Linked DNA regions of Saccharomyces cerevisiae S288C. Changing the gene in region 3 together with the main gene of any one other region gives a genetic interaction. Each region holds a gene or a part of one and is shown on either strand. Other genes may lie near its edges.

The links.
Region 1: mutations in CCA1 (region 3) and AAD10 together harm fitness more than expected from each alone (negative genetic interaction), as found in Saccharomyces cerevisiae (one large-scale study listed by BioGRID).
Region 2: mutations in CCA1 (region 3) and INM2 together harm fitness more than expected from each alone (negative genetic interaction), as found in Saccharomyces cerevisiae (one large-scale study listed by BioGRID).

The regions. Positions count from the first base shown.
Region 1 is NC_001142.9:723,614-728,771, forward strand, and holds AAD10 (putative aryl-alcohol dehydrogenase), read left to right. Parts: upstream 1-3,791; coding exon 3,792-4,658; downstream 4,659-5,158. Other genes in the region: PGU1 (endo-polygalacturonase), read left to right, coding at 1-287; YJR154W (uncharacterized protein), read left to right, coding at 2,171-3,211; THI11 (4-amino-5-hydroxymethyl-2-methylpyrimidine phosphate synthase), read right to left, coding at 4,961-5,158.
Region 2 is NC_001136.10:1,032,118-1,037,373, forward strand, and holds INM2 (inositol monophosphate 1-phosphatase INM2), read left to right. Parts: upstream 1-3,877; coding exon 3,878-4,756; downstream 4,757-5,256. Other genes in the region: ZIP1 (Zip1p), read left to right, coding at 319-2,946; MGP12 (Mgp12p), read right to left, coding at 3,114-3,458; Smc5-Smc6 complex subunit NSE3, read left to right, coding at 5,078-5,256. UniProt on the Saccharomyces cerevisiae protein: Responsible for the provision of inositol required for synthesis of phosphatidylinositol and polyphosphoinositides and involved in the inositol cycle of calcium signaling.
Region 3 is NC_001137.3:516,379-524,302, reverse strand, and holds CCA1 (tRNA adenylyltransferase), read left to right. Parts: upstream 1-1,633; coding exon 1,634-3,274; downstream 3,275-7,924. Other genes in the region: RPH1 (Rph1p), read right to left, coding at 1-934; BCK2 (Bck2p), read right to left, coding at 3,532-6,087; aminophospholipid-translocating P4-type ATPase DNF1, read right to left, coding at 6,844-7,924. UniProt on the Saccharomyces cerevisiae protein: Nucleotidyltransferase that catalyzes the addition and repair of the essential 3'-terminal CCA sequence in tRNAs, which is necessary for the attachment of amino acids to the 3' terminus of tRNA molecules, using CTP and ATP as substrates. tRNA 3'-terminal CCA addition is required both for tRNA processing and repair.

The DNA.
Region 1 (5,158 bases), on a different chromosome or scaffold from region 3:
CTAATGTCAACTTTATCAGTAATAAAATTAGCGGCATAAAAAGTTATGGTATTGTTATCGAAGGCGATTATTTGAATAGTAAGACTACTGGAACTGCTACAGGTGGCGTTCCCATTTCGAATTTAGTAATGAAGGATATCACCGGGAGCGTGAACTCCACAGCGAAGAGGGTTAAAATTTTGGTGAAAAACGCTACTAACTGGCAATGGTCTGGGGTGTCAATTACCGGTGGTTCTTCCTATTCTGGATGTTCTGGAATCCCATCTGGATCTGGTGCAAGCTGTTAATCCTCTTTTAAAGTACTCATATGACTATACATACCTTCTTTTCTTTTCTTTACTATTCAATACATAACAGAACAAAGATGCAGGAAAATATTGGTATTTGTTCGGCAATTTATGCTGGGTTTTTTTGTAAATTCAGGTCTAATTATTACTGTTGATTTGTATCAAGTTGGTATCTTTTTTGCCATTTAATAATAGAGATACGCTATGCTCATCCGGATAGCAACAATGAGAGCCTAAAAGTCCTAATTGAGAAGAAAATCTCTGTTCAAGACTATAGTTTATGTTTCATTCTGGACCCTTGGGATCGTCTGAAACAGGAAGGTCAATAATTGGTAAAAAAAATGGTAAATGCGACTAAGTACTACAATTGAAACGAATGAGCGCACTTCATCTGCCTACAAAACGCTGCGGCTGAAAAAGTTACATAAAAAACCGTCCTCAATAGCGTTAATCCAGCGTACATGAGAAAGTAATGACAAAGTCTTCGGTAATATCAGTGCATCTACCAATATGACACAATTGTGAAACTTCGCTGACTCAAATAATAGCCCTGTTTTTTTGACCATTGTTACCCATCGAGCCAGTGAGAAAAAAGCCAAAATATCTTTAAGGCCTTCTCCATTTTATGTTTATCGATATTGTGTTGTCTGCAATATTGAAATTTTAAAGGCTATTTACTTTGCCTCTTGTTATAAACTAAGTCTGCCGAATTATGCAATATATAGCAAAAGCTGAAAATAGATGTAATTACATAATTCGCAGTTGTATATGAGTATCCTTAACTCGTACATTCCAGTTCATCTGTGACAAGGCACTGTTTTCCCTAATAATTATTAGGGAAACGTCCTTCAAAAATCAAAATAATTTTAGAGAGTCTCATCAACCTTCGCCATAGTTCGTGATGAAAACTTTACGGTACGTCAGACTTTAGATATTGATTTTTTTATTATTTCTCCCATCGTGAGTACAATTACCCTAGTTCGAACTATATCTTTCATTACTGGCGGAAAAAAAATTCAACGAATGTTCTTGGCTCAATATAGCTTAGTATTTATGTTTAAAGAATTTGTAATATGCGTTACTAGTAATTCCTTTGAATTTTTGAATGCTTTAACTGTGAGTTGGCGTACATGCAGAAACGGCCGTTTAAAATTTTACCGATTGCAGTGACAGAAAAGCTAGTTGAATATTTGTTTACATAAGCGATTCAGATAGACCCCTAATAATATCAAGCTAGATATGCCTGTTGGAAACTTCTCAAAACCTGCGCTAGACGTCCCACGCAATCAACTTACAGATATGTCAGTGCTAGGGAAAAGCCATAGAATGTTGAAAAAAGCGAAAAGGGTTTACTAACTTAGGCAGGTTGAAAAGCTTCTCGAAAAATAATACCTTTTGGTAAAACAACGTAAAGAAGTACTGCCATAACGTAGAATTCTGCAGTTATGAACATACTACAGGCGAAATTGCTAAAATTAATGAGGATAGTCAAAATTGGGTTATGAATCAAAGTTTTTTATAGATTTTCAGCACCGGTGTGGCTAGTAGTCGTCCATACATGACTCAAAGAAAAAAAAAATAAGTGACATAACGCGAAGTGAGGCATTATTGGGCTGCTAAAGAATTTTACGTTGGAAAAGAGGCAAGATTGTCTCATTTTCCTTCAAAATGAAGGTACTGCTGCCCCGGAGTAATAGTAATTTATTCTCAACAGAAATAGAATATTTAATTAATCAGAGTCTAACATTAAGGTCATGTGTTGATAGCAGGTGACGCGTCTGTAAAACTAATAAAGTATATAAAGCACATCCATGAGATCTTAAGACGAGAGATTTCCCCTACTCAAAGTACAAGCAGGACAGATTCAAAACGCAATCCATACGATGAACACAGATTCACACAACCTTAGTGAGCCATACAATATAGGTGGCCAAAAATACATTAATATGAAAAAAAAGGAAGATCTTGGCGTATGCCAGCCTGGCTTAACGCAAAAGGCATTCACAGTCGAAGACAAGTTCGATTACAAAGCAATTATTGAAAAAATGGAAGTATACGGACTTTGCGTGGTCAAGAATTTTATAGAGACCTCCAGATGTGATGAAATATTGAAAGAAATCGAACCGCATTTTTATAGATACGAATCATGGCAAGGCTCACCGTTTCCTAAGGAAACTACTGTGGCAACGAGATCGGTTTTACACTCATCTACAGTCTTAAAGGATGTGGTATGCGACCGTATGTTTTGTGATATCTCAAAACATTTTTTGAATGAAGAAAACTACTTTGCGGCGGGAAAGGTGATTAATAAATGCACTAGTGATATTCAACTGAACTCCGGTATAGTCTACAAGGTTGGCGCTGGTGCAAGTGACCAGGGCTACCACCGAGAAGATATTGTTCATCATACGACCCATCAAGCATGTGAACGTTTCCAGTATGGAACCGAAACCATGGTAGGGTTAGGTGTAGCTTTTACAGATATGAATAAAGAAAATGGCTCTACGCGAATGATAGTCGGTTCACATTTGTGGGGTCCGCACGATTCCTGTGGGAACTTTGACAAGAGGATGGAATTTCACGTTAATGTTGCAAAGGGAGACGCAGTTCTATTCTTAGGGAGCCTCTACCATGCAGCCAGTGCAAATCGTACGTCACAAGACAGAGTTGCTGGATATTTTTTTATGACAAAGAGCTACTTGAAACCAGAGGAAAATCTTCACTTAGGGACTGATTTGCGAGTGTTTAAGGGTTTACCATTGGAAGCCTTGCAACTGTTGGGGCTCGGAATTAGTGAGCCATTTTGTGGTCACATAGATTATAAGAGTCCAGGACATCTTATCAGTTCTAGTTTGTTTGAAAATGATATCGAAAAGGGGTACTATGGAGAGACAATAAGGGTGAATTATGGGTCCACGCAATAATCATTGTAACGGGAAAACATATCACCACAAGTTCGCTGTAAATGTGCAGACTGGGTGGCATGCTTCAAAAGCCTATTCTAGTACTTCCCTGCTGTTTTCGCACGGAACCGGTAAGAAAACTTCGTACCGAAATCGAACAACTTTCATTACTTGCACTTGTACAAATTTAAGGGAGCGGGATTTTAAAACATATAAAAGGATAGTGGCACAACTAGGAATAAGGTGTATTACCCAATATGATTCTCACCTTCGGTTGGGGACTGGTTAATTAATTGAATAGCTTCATAACCCACCGCCGCAAAATGTGCTCTTCGAAATGTCTGAGGCTTTTGGACCTGCACCTGAACCACCTACCGAGTTAGGACGTCTTAGGGTCCTATCTAAAACAGCTGGTATAAGAGTTTCTCCACTAATCCTGGGAGGTATGTCTATTGGTGACGCCTGGTCTGGATTCATGGGATCAATGGACAAAGAACAAGCTTTTGAGCTACTTGATGCTTTTTACCAAGCAGGCGGAAATTTCATTGATACTGCAAATAATTATTAGTATGAGCAGTCAGAGACTTGGATCGGTGAATGGATGGCATCAAGAAAACTGCGTGACCAGATTGTAATTGCCACTAAATTTACCACGGATTATAAGGGGTATGATGTAGGCAAGGGGAAGAGTGCCAATTTCTGTGGGAATCACAAGCGCAGTTTGCATGTAAGTGTGAGAGATTCCCTTCGTAAGTTGCAAACTGATTGGATTGATATTCTTTACGTTCACTGGTGGGATTATATGAGCTCCATTGAGGAAGTTATGGATAGTTTGCACATTCTTGTGCAGCAGGGCAAAGTACTCTATCTAGGTGTGTCTGATACTCCTGCCTGGGTTGTTTCTGCAGCAAATTACTACGCCACATCTCATGGTAAAACTCCCTTTAGTATCTATCAAGGTAAATGGAATGTATTGAACAGGGACTTTGAACGTGATATCATTCCAATGGCTAGGCATTTTGGTATGGCTCTTGCTCCATGGGATGTTATGGGAGGCGGGAGATTTCAGAGTAAAAAGGCAGTGGAAGAGCGGAAGAAGAAAGGAGAAGGCTTGCGTACCTTTTTTGGTACTTCGGAACAGACGGATATGGAGGTTAAAATCAGCGAAGCATTGTTAAAAGTTGCGGAAGAACATGGCACTGAGTCTGTCACTGCTATTGCCATAGCTTATGTTCGGTCTAAAGCGAAACATGTTTTCCCATTAGTGGGAGGAAGAAAGATCGAACATCTCAAACAGAACATTGAGGCTTTGAGCATTAAATTAACACCAGAACAAATAAAGTACTTAGAAAGTATTGTTCCTTTTGATGTCGGATTTCCCACTAATTTTATTGGAGATGACCCAGCTGTTACCAAGAAACCTTCATTTCTCACCGAAATGTCTGCCAAGATTAGCTTCGAAGATTAGTCAAATCAATAGTTTTAGTATGTTCATAATGTGAAAAATGTTTATATATACGCTTACACACACAGTTTGATGATTCAAATACTTAGAGAAAACTTTGCCGCTCATGCATTTGCAGGCATCTTTTATTGTGTTGATTTTGCGAGGAAATAAAGTGTTAAGATAAAGGGAGTTCATTTAAAGCTTGTATACATGCTCTGATACATAAATATGTATGTCTATATATCGAGTAGGAAACAACAGCTAATGTGAAATCATAAACAAGTCGTAGAGGAAGGCTGGGCTGAACGAGTGACGAAGCACGTTTAAGCTGGAAGAGCCAATCTCTTGAAAGTACCTTCCTGTCTGCATTTTTCTTGATGAATAGCCATCAATCTTTGAGCTTCCAAAGGATCAGAAACCTCTTCTGGTTCTGGCCAGGACAAGTATTCATTAGTGTAGTTCGAGACATAGTCTGGTGGCAGAATGGCTAATCTCTTACCGTAACCGGTAACCTTCTTCCA
Region 2 (5,256 bases), on a different chromosome or scaffold from region 3:
GACATAATGCTATATTTTTGCTGCGCCAGAAATCGAGTACTAGTTTTTAAATATTTGTTCTAAACGGTCAAACTTTTCGTAAAAAATGCTATAAGCCGTGTTGTCCCTTTATGAAGAGCTGCTTCTTCACTTGTAAATAGCGAACAAATAAAGAAAACAATCTGCTACCTCTTTGTTAAAGTTGACCGCCTTGAAGAGAACTGCAAGTCTCTGAAAGTTTTAGCTGAATATTGTCACCTCTTTTAGGATTAACAGTAAGCATATTTTTTTCTTTGAGATTCGGAAGTAAAATACCCTCGGCGGCTAAATTTTTAGAGAATGTCAAACTTTTTTAGAGATAGTTCAATGGGATTCAAGCCTCGACCAAACATCTTCGCTAAGCTGAGAGTCAGAGATGTAGATTCAGATTCTTCCGCTAATACTGTTGTCGAGAATTCATCCAACTGTTTAGACGTGGGTTCTTCTATAGAGGGAGATGATACCTTCAAAAAACCCCACAAAACTTCTACCGAACAAGAACTGATTACAAGTATGAGCCTTAGTCAGAGAAACCATGGTTATTCTGATGATATGGAAATAGGTTCACCAAAAAAAACAACATCAACAGACCAATACAACAGAATTTTAAAAAATGATGTTGCCGCAATTGAAAATGATACTGATGAAGATTTTGAAATTACAGAAGTAAGAGAAGTGAGTGAAGGAGTAGCAAAAGAAACGAAAGAAAGTCATGGGGATCCTAACGATTCTGAGACAACTCTCAAGGATAGTAAAATGCATGAATATACTATGACAAATGGAAAGGCTCCTTTGCACACGTCCATCAATAATTCTAGTACATCTTCAAATGATGTCCTGTTAGAAGCCTTCACAAACACTCAAAGAATATGTTCAAATTTAAAGCAAGAGCTACAAAAGCAGCAACAGGATAATGCAAAGTTGAAAGTTCGACTACAGTCGTATGCTTCCAATTCTGATAAGATCAATGAAAAAGTCGGAAAATATAAATCTTGTTTAGAAACTCTTCAAGAAAGGATTGCAACGTTGACGAGCCATAAGAATAATCAAGAAACTAAATTGAAAGATTTAAGACAAAACCACCAACTATATCAGAGAAGGATAAGCGGATTTAAGACAAGTATTGAAAACTTGAACAAAACAATAAATGATTTAGGGAAGAACAAAAAGGAGGCGGATGCAGAATTAATGAAAAAAGGTAAAGAGATTGAATACCTGAAAAGAGAACTAGATGATTGTTCAGGTCAGTTGAGCGAAGAAAAAATCAAAAACAGTTCCTTAATACAGGAAATGGGAAAAAATAGAGAAGAAATGATTAAATCAATTGAGAATTTCTTTTCAGAAGATAAAGCACACCATTTACTGCAATTTAACAAATTCGAAGAAAGAGTTCATGATTTGTTTGAAAAAAAATTACAAAAGCACTTCGATGTGGCAAAAGATACCCTTAACGTAGGCTTGAGGAACACCACTGTAGAGTTGAGTAGTAATACAGAGACCATGCTAAAGCAGCAATATGAAGATATCAAAGAAAATCTTGAACAAAAAATGTCATCCAGTAAGGATGAAATGGCAAAAACAATAAATGAGCTGAGTGTAACGCAAAAAGGACTTATAATGGGAGTACAAGAAGAACTATTAACGTCATCAGGGAATATTCAAACTGCTTTGGTAAGTGAAATGAATAACACAAGGCAAGAGCTTCTTGATGATGCGTCTCAAACAGCCAAAAATTACGCGAGTTTGGAAAACTTGGTGAAGGCATATAAGGCAGAAATAGTTCAGTCGAATGAGTATGAAGAAAGGATAAAACATTTGGAGAGTGAAAGGTCAACTTTGTCTTCACAAAAAAATCAGATTATTAGCTCTCTTGGTACTAAAGAAGCACAATATGAAGATTTGGTCAAAAAGTTGGAGGCGAAGAATATCGAAATTTCACAAATTTCTGGCAAAGAACAAAGTTTAACTGAAAAAAATGAAAACCTTTCTAATGAACTGAAAAAAGTCCAGGATCAACTAGAAAAACTCAACAATTTGAACATCACAACAAAATCAAATTACGAAAATAAAATATCTTCTCAGAATGAAATTGTGAAGGCTTTAGTTTCCGAAAACGACACTCTGAAGCAAAGAATTCAACAGCTAGTAGAAATCAAAGAAAATGAACAGAAGGATCATACAACCAAACTGGAGGCTTTCCAAAAGAACAATGAGCAGCTACAAAAGCTAAACGTCGAAGTAGTACAACTGAAGGCTCATGAATTGGAGCTTGAAGAGCAGAATAGGCACTTAAAAAATTGTTTAGAAAAAAAGGAAACTGGTGTTGAAGAATCACTAAGCGATGTAAAAACCCTAAAACAGCAAGTGATAGTTCTGAAATCGGAGAAGCAAGATATAACAGCTGAAAAGTTAGAACTTCAAGATAACCTCGAAAGTTTGGAAGAAGTCACCAAAAATTTACAGCAAAAGGTGCAATCGCAAAAGAGGGAATTAGAACAGAAGATTAAAGAGCTAGAAGAGATAAAAAACCATAAACGGAACGAGCCTAGTAAAAAAGGTACACAAAATTTTACTAAACCATCAGATTCACCCAAAAAAAATGCTACGACGTCCAACTTATTTCCTAATAACTCTGCTGCCATTCACTCTCCTATGAAAAAGTGTCCTAAGGTGGATCATATAAGTAAGTCAAGAATTAATTCATCCAAAGAAACATCCAAATTTAACGATGAGTTCGATCTTTCTTCATCATCAAATGACGACCTAGAGTTAACCAACCCTTCCCCAATCCAAATTAAACCAGTGAGAGGAAAAATCAAGAAGGGTTCAAATTGCATGAAACCTCCAATTTCTTCAAGAAAAAAATTACTACTAGTAGAAGACGAAGACCAGTCATTAAAAATAAGCAAGAAAAGGAGAAGGAAATAGAGGATAATGGAAAATTTGAAATCGTTTTGTGCGAATACATTTCATTTTGTTCCCTGCGTAAGAAGTATGCATAGTAAAATTAGCGTAGATATAGTTTTTTGAGGTATATACTTATTCATAGCTTATAAATATTTACAGTGTTGTAACTCTAGTAAAAACAAAAGAGGTCATCTAGATTGCATTCTCCTTATTTTATCACTGATATCGTCTTCTTCAAGAAAGTGCAGGATCTTGGTGCACGACTTAGGATCACCAACTTTCTCAATATGAAGTACTGGTATGTCGAAGCAATATTCCTTCCACCATTTTGCGTTTCTTCGGTCAGTTATGTTGACTATCTCTAGTGAAACTGCTTTATTATGAAATTCCTTTCTTTCAAATACATCATCTATCACTTCCTTTGCTTGATCGCATAACCCACAATTAGGCTTTGAGAAGAAAGTTAATTTCACTCCAGCATCATGTAACAATACCCTCGAAGTATGTATAGAACAGCGGAACGCTCTCAACATGGTGATATGTTCCTTAAGTTTTATGTCTTACTGAATAATTACGAATTTCTGTTATGAATTAAACGAAACTTTACAATGCATCAACTCCGAACTCTCTACGGAAAGGTAACAACTTGCGCACATCATAGACCCATAAAGCGAAAAAAAGGGAAGTCAATCACAGTTATATTGACATTCCAAAGCCAGTAACTAAAAAACTACAAAAATGGATTCTCACAGTCATATTAAGTGACCTCTTATTATTTCCCTTAAAACGGTAATTCTTAATAAAGAACGTCAGTGTTCCGAGTGATAACGCCGTGAAGCACCCTGCTTCATTACATATGAAATCGTGGGGAGAAAAAATCGTGAAAACAATATAGAGAATAAGTGAAGTTGAAGCTCCACAAGCCCTTGTAAAGTAAACTTAGATTGAAGCGATGGTATTAACGAGGCAAGTACTAGAGGAAGTGGAGAACACATTTATTGAATTACTTAGGAGTAAAATAGGACCTCTCGTAAAATCGCACGCAGGAACAAACTTTTGTTCATATGATGATAAAGCAAATGGCGTAGATTTGGTAACTGCTTTAGACAAACAAATTGAATCTATAATCAAGGAAAATTTAACGGCCAAGTATCCCAGTTTCAAATTTATCGGAGAAGAAACTTATGTAAAAGGTGTCACGAAAATAACTAACGGCCCTACATTTATTGTTGATCCCATCGATGGTACTACTAATTTTATTCACGGTTACCCCTATAGTTGTACATCTCTAGGTTTAGCTGAAATGGGGAAGCCGGTTGTTGGTGTGGTTTTCAATCCTCACTTAAACCAACTATTCCATGCTTCCAAAGGCAATGGAGCTTTCTTAAATGATCAGGAGATAAAGGTTTCAAAAAGGCCATTGATTTTGCAAAAATCCTTAATTGCTTTAGAAGGAGGTTCGGAAAGAACTGAAGGTTCCCAAGGAAACTTTGATAAGAAAATGAATACTTATAAAAACTTACTAAGTGAGTCCGGCGCCTTTGTTCACGGGTTCAGAAGTGCAGGAAGTGCTGCCATGAACATATGCTACGTAGCGAGCGGCATGCTTGATGCTTATTGGGAAGGTGGCTGCTGGGCTTGGGATGTTTGTGCCGGTTGGTGTATTCTTGAGGAAGCAGGAGGAATAATGGTTGGCGGAAATTGTGGAGAATGGAACATTCCATTAGACAGAAGATGTTACTTGGCTATTAGAGGTGGATGTGAGTCGATGGAGCAGAAGCGATTTGCAGAATCGTTTTGGCCTCACGTTGCGGGTGAGTTAGAATACTAAATGCCCCCCTCAGGTGTCGTTAAATAAGCTACATCTAAGAAAAGTTTATATAGTACTTCACGCAATTCCTACTAGTATTTTTTTCCAGTACAGGACGATATCTTGAAGCAGCAACTTGATTTCACAGGTCACTTAGTGTGGGCTTCTGACTCAAGAATAGCAAGTATTACATGCATGCGGCCCTCTCCTTTAACAGCGCGATATACGTGAAGAAAAATTTCAATGAAGAGTAATGCGCTTATTATCAACTTCGATTGAAGGGGTCCTATATCAGTATGCTACAAGGGAAGGTTGTTCGATAAACATAAGCTTCTCATTAGCATGAGTTCTATAGATAATGACAGCGATGTGGATTTAACAGAAGATTTAGCCGTGGCCAAGATCGTTAAAGAGAATCCTGTAGCTAGAAAAATGGTTAGGTATATTTTATCGAGAGGAGAATCTCAAAATTCGATCATAACAAGAAACAAGTTACAATCTGTTATACATGAAGCTGCTCG
Region 3 (7,924 bases):
CTTCATGGTGGACAATTTCATTGCATCGTATGCCATTTTCCTGCAGCAGTTTGGGCGAAGCCAAAAACATTTTATGTCTTAAAAATTCAGGACAATTTTTGGCTTCTTCGGGAAATTGCTCCTGCATGAATTTGTAGAATTTGAACCTATCCTCTTGCGGTATCGAATACCACTGTTTTGGGGCACCGAAATGAATATAATTTATGGAATACAGGTCCTGATCTTCCAAGTGCCAAGAAAAAGAAGCCTTCCATAGACCAGCGTATAGATAGGAGTCATTCACCCCAGGAACCTTTGTTTCCATATGGTCCAAGATGTTCGGTAGTTTGGCAACATTCCAAACGTTCAGCCCTTCAGGAAAGATTGATCCTGGTGTATCTGCGCCGTACATAGGCGTAGTAAAATTTAGCGTTTTCCAATAATACTCTTCCAAGAACTTTAATCTCTCCGTATTTTGGAAGTCAGATAAATCTATTGTATACTCCGTCCTGAACTGTTCAAAATCATCAATATTAAAAGACGATTCAAAATTTTTCAGTTTCAACTTCGTGGATTTGGAAACGGAGCCTTTCCTAGAATTACGTCTTGCTTTAGGATCCTCCGGAGGCACATAGTCCTTAGAAAGATCTTTCCACTGTATAATGTTATAGGTCTTGTTTTTCTCCACGTTCTGCACCATAAAAAGACCTTTATTACCAGAAATATGCTGCTGAATAGGTGATTTAATCTTGATCTTTTGGAGCGTTTCCGCAGAATAAGGCAGATCTAATTTGTCTTTCCATTCTTTAGGTGGGATTACTTTCACAACACCACTTTTCATGCCATATTTGTTTATGGCCTTGCAGTATGCATAGAAATCTTCGAATTGCTCGTATGTGGGTTTGAAGACGGGCACTCCGCCCACGATTTCTGAAGGAGCGATTAGTTTCGTCATGATTTCACGCAACTGAATATCCTCACCAAGACAGTCTTATTCTTTTTTTCCCTTTTTTTTATCTGTTTATTTTTCTCCAGCAGATCTATAAAATAAGTGGTACTAATAGAAAGGTTAAGTCCCCCTATTTTAAAATAATGCTGATAGAATGATTAAATTGGCCGCTTGATGAAAACCGCAAGTAGCTACTTCAGGGACAAGCAACGCCTTCGATGCGAATATATGTTTTGCTGATAACGATCTATGTACAGCGTCTGCAATTCTCTTAAAATTATCGCCTTGCCATTGTTACTTAAGGAGTCTATGTGATTAATTGCATGGCGATGAGGTTACCCTTGAAAAATATAGAAAAGATTTTTCCGAATAAAAAGAAAGTAAAACTAAAAAAAAAAAAAAAATGGAAAAAGAAAAAGAAACGTTTAGGGGAGAGGAGGGCTGCGGTTAAGGCTTATGGGGTGTATGGGCGGGGGAAATAGGGCATACTTTCTCGATTCACCAAACCCTTAGGTCATCTGATTTTTAGGGTTGTGTTCTTGTCGTTACTCAGCCCTAAAAAACATTCGTTAGGGTTGAAAAGTTGAAAAATGAATCGCAAAAATCTACCATATTAACAATGTACTAAAGGAAACTACATAATACATCGCAACGCTTCCCTCGAGATTAATTCGTATCCGTGGGTTATAAGGGCTTTTTTTGTGTATGCTACGGTCTACTATATCTCTACTGATGAATAGTGCTGCTCAGAAAACGATGACGAATTCTAATTTTGTTCTAAATGCACCCAAAATCACCTTAACCAAAGTGGAACAGAACATCTGTAACTTGCTGAACGATTATACAGACTTGTACAATCAAAAGTACCACAATAAGCCTGAGCCATTGACTCTTCGGATCACGGGCGGATGGGTGCGTGACAAGCTTCTGGGACAAGGTTCTCACGACTTGGATATTGCCATCAATGTGATGTCAGGTGAGCAATTTGCTACTGGTTTGAACGAGTATTTGCAACAACATTACGCCAAATATGGAGCCAAGCCTCATAATATCCACAAGATTGACAAGAATCCCGAGAAATCCAAGCATCTGGAAACTGCCACTACTAAGCTCTTTGGCGTTGAAGTGGATTTTGTCAATTTAAGATCTGAAAAGTATACTGAACTTTCCAGGATACCTAAAGTGTGCTTTGGCACACCCGAGGAAGACGCTTTAAGAAGGGATGCTACATTGAACGCTCTTTTCTATAACATTCATAAAGGTGAAGTGGAAGATTTCACCAAGAGAGGTCTGCAAGATCTAAAAGATGGCGTTCTCCGTACTCCGCTTCCTGCAAAACAAACATTTTTGGATGATCCCTTGAGGGTTTTGAGGTTGATCCGTTTTGCTTCTAGATTCAACTTTACCATAGATCCGGAAGTGATGGCTGAAATGGGCGATCCTCAGATTAATGTTGCATTCAATTCAAAAATTTCTAGAGAGCGAGTTGGTGTGGAGATGGAGAAAATATTAGTAGGACCAACCCCTTTATTGGCTTTGCAGCTGATTCAAAGGGCTCATCTTGAAAATGTTATCTTTTTTTGGCATAATGATAGCTCCGTCGTAAAATTCAACGAAGAGAATTGTCAAGATATGGACAAAATTAATCATGTATACAATGATAACATACTAAACTCACACTTGAAAAGTTTTATTGAATTATATCCAATGTTTTTAGAGAAGCTTCCTATCTTAAGGGAAAAAATTGGTCGTTCGCCAGGATTTCAGCAAAATTTTATATTGAGTGCGATCCTGTCCCCCATGGCTAATTTACAAATAATCGGGAACCCAAAGAAGAAAATTAACAACCTGGTTTCGGTGACAGAAAGCATTGTGAAGGAAGGATTGAAGCTGAGTAAAAATGATGCAGCAGTTATTGCCAAGACCGTAGATTCAATATGTTCATATGAGGAAATACTTGCTAAGTTTGCAGATCGTTCCCAGCTAAAAAAATCCGAAATCGGTATATTTCTACGGAACTTTAATGGCGAATGGGAAACAGCACATTTTGCATCTCTATCAGATGCATTTTTAAAGATTCCCAAGCTTGAAACTAAAAAAATTGAATTACTTTTCCAAAATTACAATGAATTTTATTCTTACATATTTGACAATAATTTGAATAATTGTCATGAACTAAAACCAATAGTGGACGGAAAACAAATGGCAAAACTACTTCAAATGAAGCCAGGTCCATGGCTGGGTAAAATTAATAACGAAGCGATTAGGTGGCAGTTTGATAATCCTACAGGGACTGATCAAGAATTAATAACTCATTTAAAAGCCATACTACCAAAATACCTGTAGTAGCTTATTAGTATACATAAGACATGTAGAACAAGAATGCATAAATAACTTTCTGTTACCTTATTGAAAAGAAAAAAATAAAAAAAATGAAAACGAAAATGAAATAATATCTCTAGTAGTTATTCTATGGTGTATGATAACTAAACATATTTATTAGTTTTTATATACTCTATTCAAAATTTTTTACCAGTTTTTAACTTTTTCGAAAGATATCTGTTACTATTTTTGAACTTTTTTTTTTTTTTTTCATTCCTTTTTTAGTTGCTATTATCAAAATAAAAAGACTGTAAATTATTATCAATGTCGTTATTTGCAATTGGTGCTGCATTTTGATTATTTGAGTTTTCCACAGATGAGTTCGCCTGATACTGTGGAACGAAAGTATGACCATCGTAAAAATTTCTTTCACTGTTGTTTGAAACGTTTGAGCCCATCAGGTCGCCTAATGAAACAGTTGCTGAAGTATCCGGAGATATATTTCCAATGTATGTATCCGCAGACTTGGGTTCATTCATGTTGATGGCGCTGTTGCTGTTGTTATTGCTGTGGCCCATCTCACCTAGTAGCTTCGATTGCTCATGGAAAAACGACTCTGGGTTTTCAAAATCGAACTCGGTATACACTTGCAAATTAGTCTTTGTTGTATCAACATTGTTTGGTGTTGAGCCACTGTAAGAAACGCGATTTCCGGTATTATTATTGGATTCTGATCGAGAAGCGTGTTTCCATTGAGATCTAATAAAATGATCGAGGTTTGCATCACTCAATCCCAATCCCGTATTTACCAATGTATACTTATCTTGATCTTGAAAGTAGTTTCCGGTCGCGTTGCTTGTTGTAGTGGATATTGAGTTCGTCATAACAGAATCTACGATGCTGCTACTAGTTGTACTACCGTGTGGCATCAAAGAGTTAAAATCTAAACTGTCATCCTTTCTGTGAGTATCCATCCCCATAATATCCCTTCTTTGGAAGTGTGCCGTATTCGGAATATCTTGTACTAGGACATCCTCTTCTTCATTTTCTTCTAACGTGGATCTAGGTATACCTTTTAGTGCCGGTATATTCTCCATTGGAGTATTGAAAGCAGAGAATTCCCCACTAGCGTCGTTTTCGTTACTGTATTCTTTGTCAAATGAGGAAAAATTGCTAGATGGGCGATAACTTGTAACAGTACTGGTACTTGGAACAAAGTTCATATTGTGTGTTTCAAGCACATTTGGAGTTGAAGAAGCAGATGCAGAACTTGGTAATGTGTAACCTGTCATGTAGTAAGGAGGAGTCACCAGAGAAGATGAAGGTGTTGTAATGTACGAATTAGAATGTTGAATTCTTTGAGCATCAGAGATAGATTCTTGTTTCTTCCTATGCCCTCCTTTGACACTGCCACTTTTATGCTGTGGTTGGCCATCCAAGAATATTTCGTTAACTGGGGTTGTACTATCCATTTCTGGTAGATCAGTGACGCTTGGTAAAGAATTAAGGTCTCTGGATAATCTATAAAGGGAAGACCCACGAGTTGCGGATCTTGCTCTTCCTGGCGATGCAACTCTTATTGGTGAATAACGATTTGACATGGATGATAATGAGCCAACTGAAGTGGTTCGCTGAGTTGGCAATTTATTAACTTTTATATTTGATTGCTGAATAGTTTGTGCAATAGTGGGTGAGGCTAGCGAACACGTGGACCCGCCAGTGTTGGCTCGTTTTCTAGTAAACATCTTACTAAATGCAATAGAAGCGTCATTTTCTTCCGGTAATTTAACTTTACTTTGTGAGTCTCCGCAGTTGAAAGATCTTGAAGTTCTTGGTGAATCAGGTGAATGCTTTGCAAAGTGGGGTGTACTTAAATCGGAGTTCAGACTTAAAGAGGATTTATTGTTACTGTAGTTTTGATCTTTGAAGTTGAATGATTCGGTAGAATGATATAGCCCACTTTCCTGTGACTTTTGTCGGTCTGAACTCTGAGGCGCCACTTTATTGTACTTCAATCTTGTATTTTTTGTGTTCATGAGAGGTATACTTGATAAGTTGGGAGTAGAATTTGTTTCGCTTTCAGTGAACCTTGATGGCGGTTTTGCTAGTGAAGGATCATGAGTTGATTTCGGAACGACTTCTTTCTCGGAACAAAAATCGTTATTGTCAATAGGCAGATCAGTAGTGTTACCCATCATGTTTAATGATGGAAAGGACAAGTTTCCAGAGAACGGAGTTTTACCGTTTAGCCTATTGTGTTTTAAGAACGAGTTATAAGATCTTTTGGTTGTTAGTGACGAGGCGTCGATTCCGCTTTCTGAGATAGGGGTTCCCGAAAGGGGTTTAGATTCTGAATCCATTTGAAGCACCATTGGTTGCTCTTCAACGATGTCCTCTATGTGTTCGTTCTTTGACGATCCAAATATCTTCAGCATTCTCCTTTTGGAGGATTTCTTCTTTAATTTCGCCTTTGGTGCTGGCACAGAAACCGGCTGGGTTTGCAAGTCAGTATCATTTTCGTTAGCCGTGTCCTGTACAGTATAATTGACGAAGACCATTTCACCTGATTTCTTTCTACTACTCTTCTTCGCCTTAGTATGGTTGTCTCTGGGATCCTCTAGCAAAACTTTTTTCGGGCTAGACATAACATTCATAGTAGGTAATACTGGAGTGCTACATGAGCCTGTTGAGGAGTTCCTGTCCGGCGAAGCTTGTGTGCTGCCGCTAGCGGATCTGCGATAATAGTGCGGAATTTTCCATTTATTCGTAGATTCCGTAGAACGACTCTTTGTGGAATTAACCGAACTGGAACGATGGTGGTGACTATTCTTCGGCATGTGCTATTGGTTTTGAGCGATAAATCAAGACTGCCTTGCTTCTTGTCTTAGATCTCCTTCTGAGCTTTCTTAAAAGACTTCCCTAAATGGCTGATCTGATTGTTTCCTTTATTAACAACAAATCCACTGAAAAAAAAGTCAATAATTTGATGGATATTAGCGAATGTTAACCGGAAATAGGAGTGAAAGACGTGTATTACAAAACTATGACTATGCCTGATTAATATCCTGAATAACTAGGCATGAACCTTTTTTCACGCAAATAATAACAATAGGCCTAGGATTTCTATGATATAATAAACTTTCTGTTAGTATAAAAAACTATTTTTGATAAATATAGTCTCTCACCTAGTCAAAAACATACGTATCACGGCTTGATTAATTCTTAACTCTACTTTACAACATTTCAAAAATTCCTTTGATCATGACCTTAATCAATTTTTTTGCCAGTTAGTGGAGAGTTCCCAGCGCTGGAAAGTGCTGGCGTCAGTTTTCCATCGGAAGAAAAAATTAGCCCACCATTGTGCGTCCTTGAATAATAGCGATCCGGGTTAACCGGGAGTGTTAATTATAGAACAAAGAAACCCACACGTCCGCTACTAAAACTTGCTAAAAGAAAGAGTTAACGCTGTAGTATGCATGAATTCCAAGGCTTCTAAGGCTTCTAAGGCTTCTAAGGCTTATCCAGTAATATTATGTAATATTATATATACAGTGAAAAGCGGAGTTCCATCAGCTATGGTTCGGATATCATTATTAATTGTTCTGTTGTGTTCCGATTAAGGAGGCTGCGTTAGTTACGCCTGGTAGATCTAGAGATGTTCTCGCTCTTTCCACAGAGTAGCGGTTATCTAGTTGGTTAGTGGCGATCATCTGTTCTCTTGTGCGGTCCAAGGATGACCTGACGTTGGTTGATGGGCCTCTTCCGAACGTTTGGGCCTGCTGAAATTGGGGCGATTGAAGAAGATCTTGTGTTTCCTTGGGTGAAGTCATCCAGGTTTCTTGCTTCTGATATCCGCTAGGACTTCCATCTTCACCGTGCATGAAAGTCATTGGAATCTCCTCTGTGACAACACTATCCCTTGAATAGTTCGATCCTCCTAAGTTGTCGGAAAGTGCTATGCCTTCTATAATCTTCTCTCCGTGTTGCCCAGCTTTTGTGACCTTGGGTCTGTTGGGATCTGTTGGATCGTAACCAGGAGGATAATGATCGAAATGGCCATGTTGCCACATCTCTCTTACTATTTCCACATCAGTTGGGTAGAAAAATTTTTGAAAACTGTCATATGTGAAACGGGGCAGTAAGCAGAACAGCACGGCAACAAAGAAAACAGCCCAAAATGAAGGTGCTCCATAGATACGCGCTGCAGCTTTGAAAAATTCTCTACTAGCTATCGCAGAAGACCATATTCCCGTCCATGCAAAAACTACGAGGCAAGACAGTGCAATGAATAATCCACTAAACCAATCCCATCTATATTGGTGTAATAAAACATATGTGTTACACGAAATTACAGCAATAGTGGTCACATAAACACCGACAAAATAACGATGATCCAATCCTAACCCATTGCTCGTAACTATCATATTTTTGTGATAAACCAAGTAAGGGAAAAAAAAACAGATAATAGACTGATATAATCCGTCCAACATATACCATAAGAACTTTCTTTGGTTCCATTCTTTCCTTAAAATTCCAACACGGTATAACTGAGGGACCACTAATGATATTGTGTCATTCACGTCCTGGTCCAGAATACCTAAGAAGATGACTGGTAGGGATGTAAATGCCAAATTATAGAACATCATGTATGTGTATTCATACAGGTAAGACCCA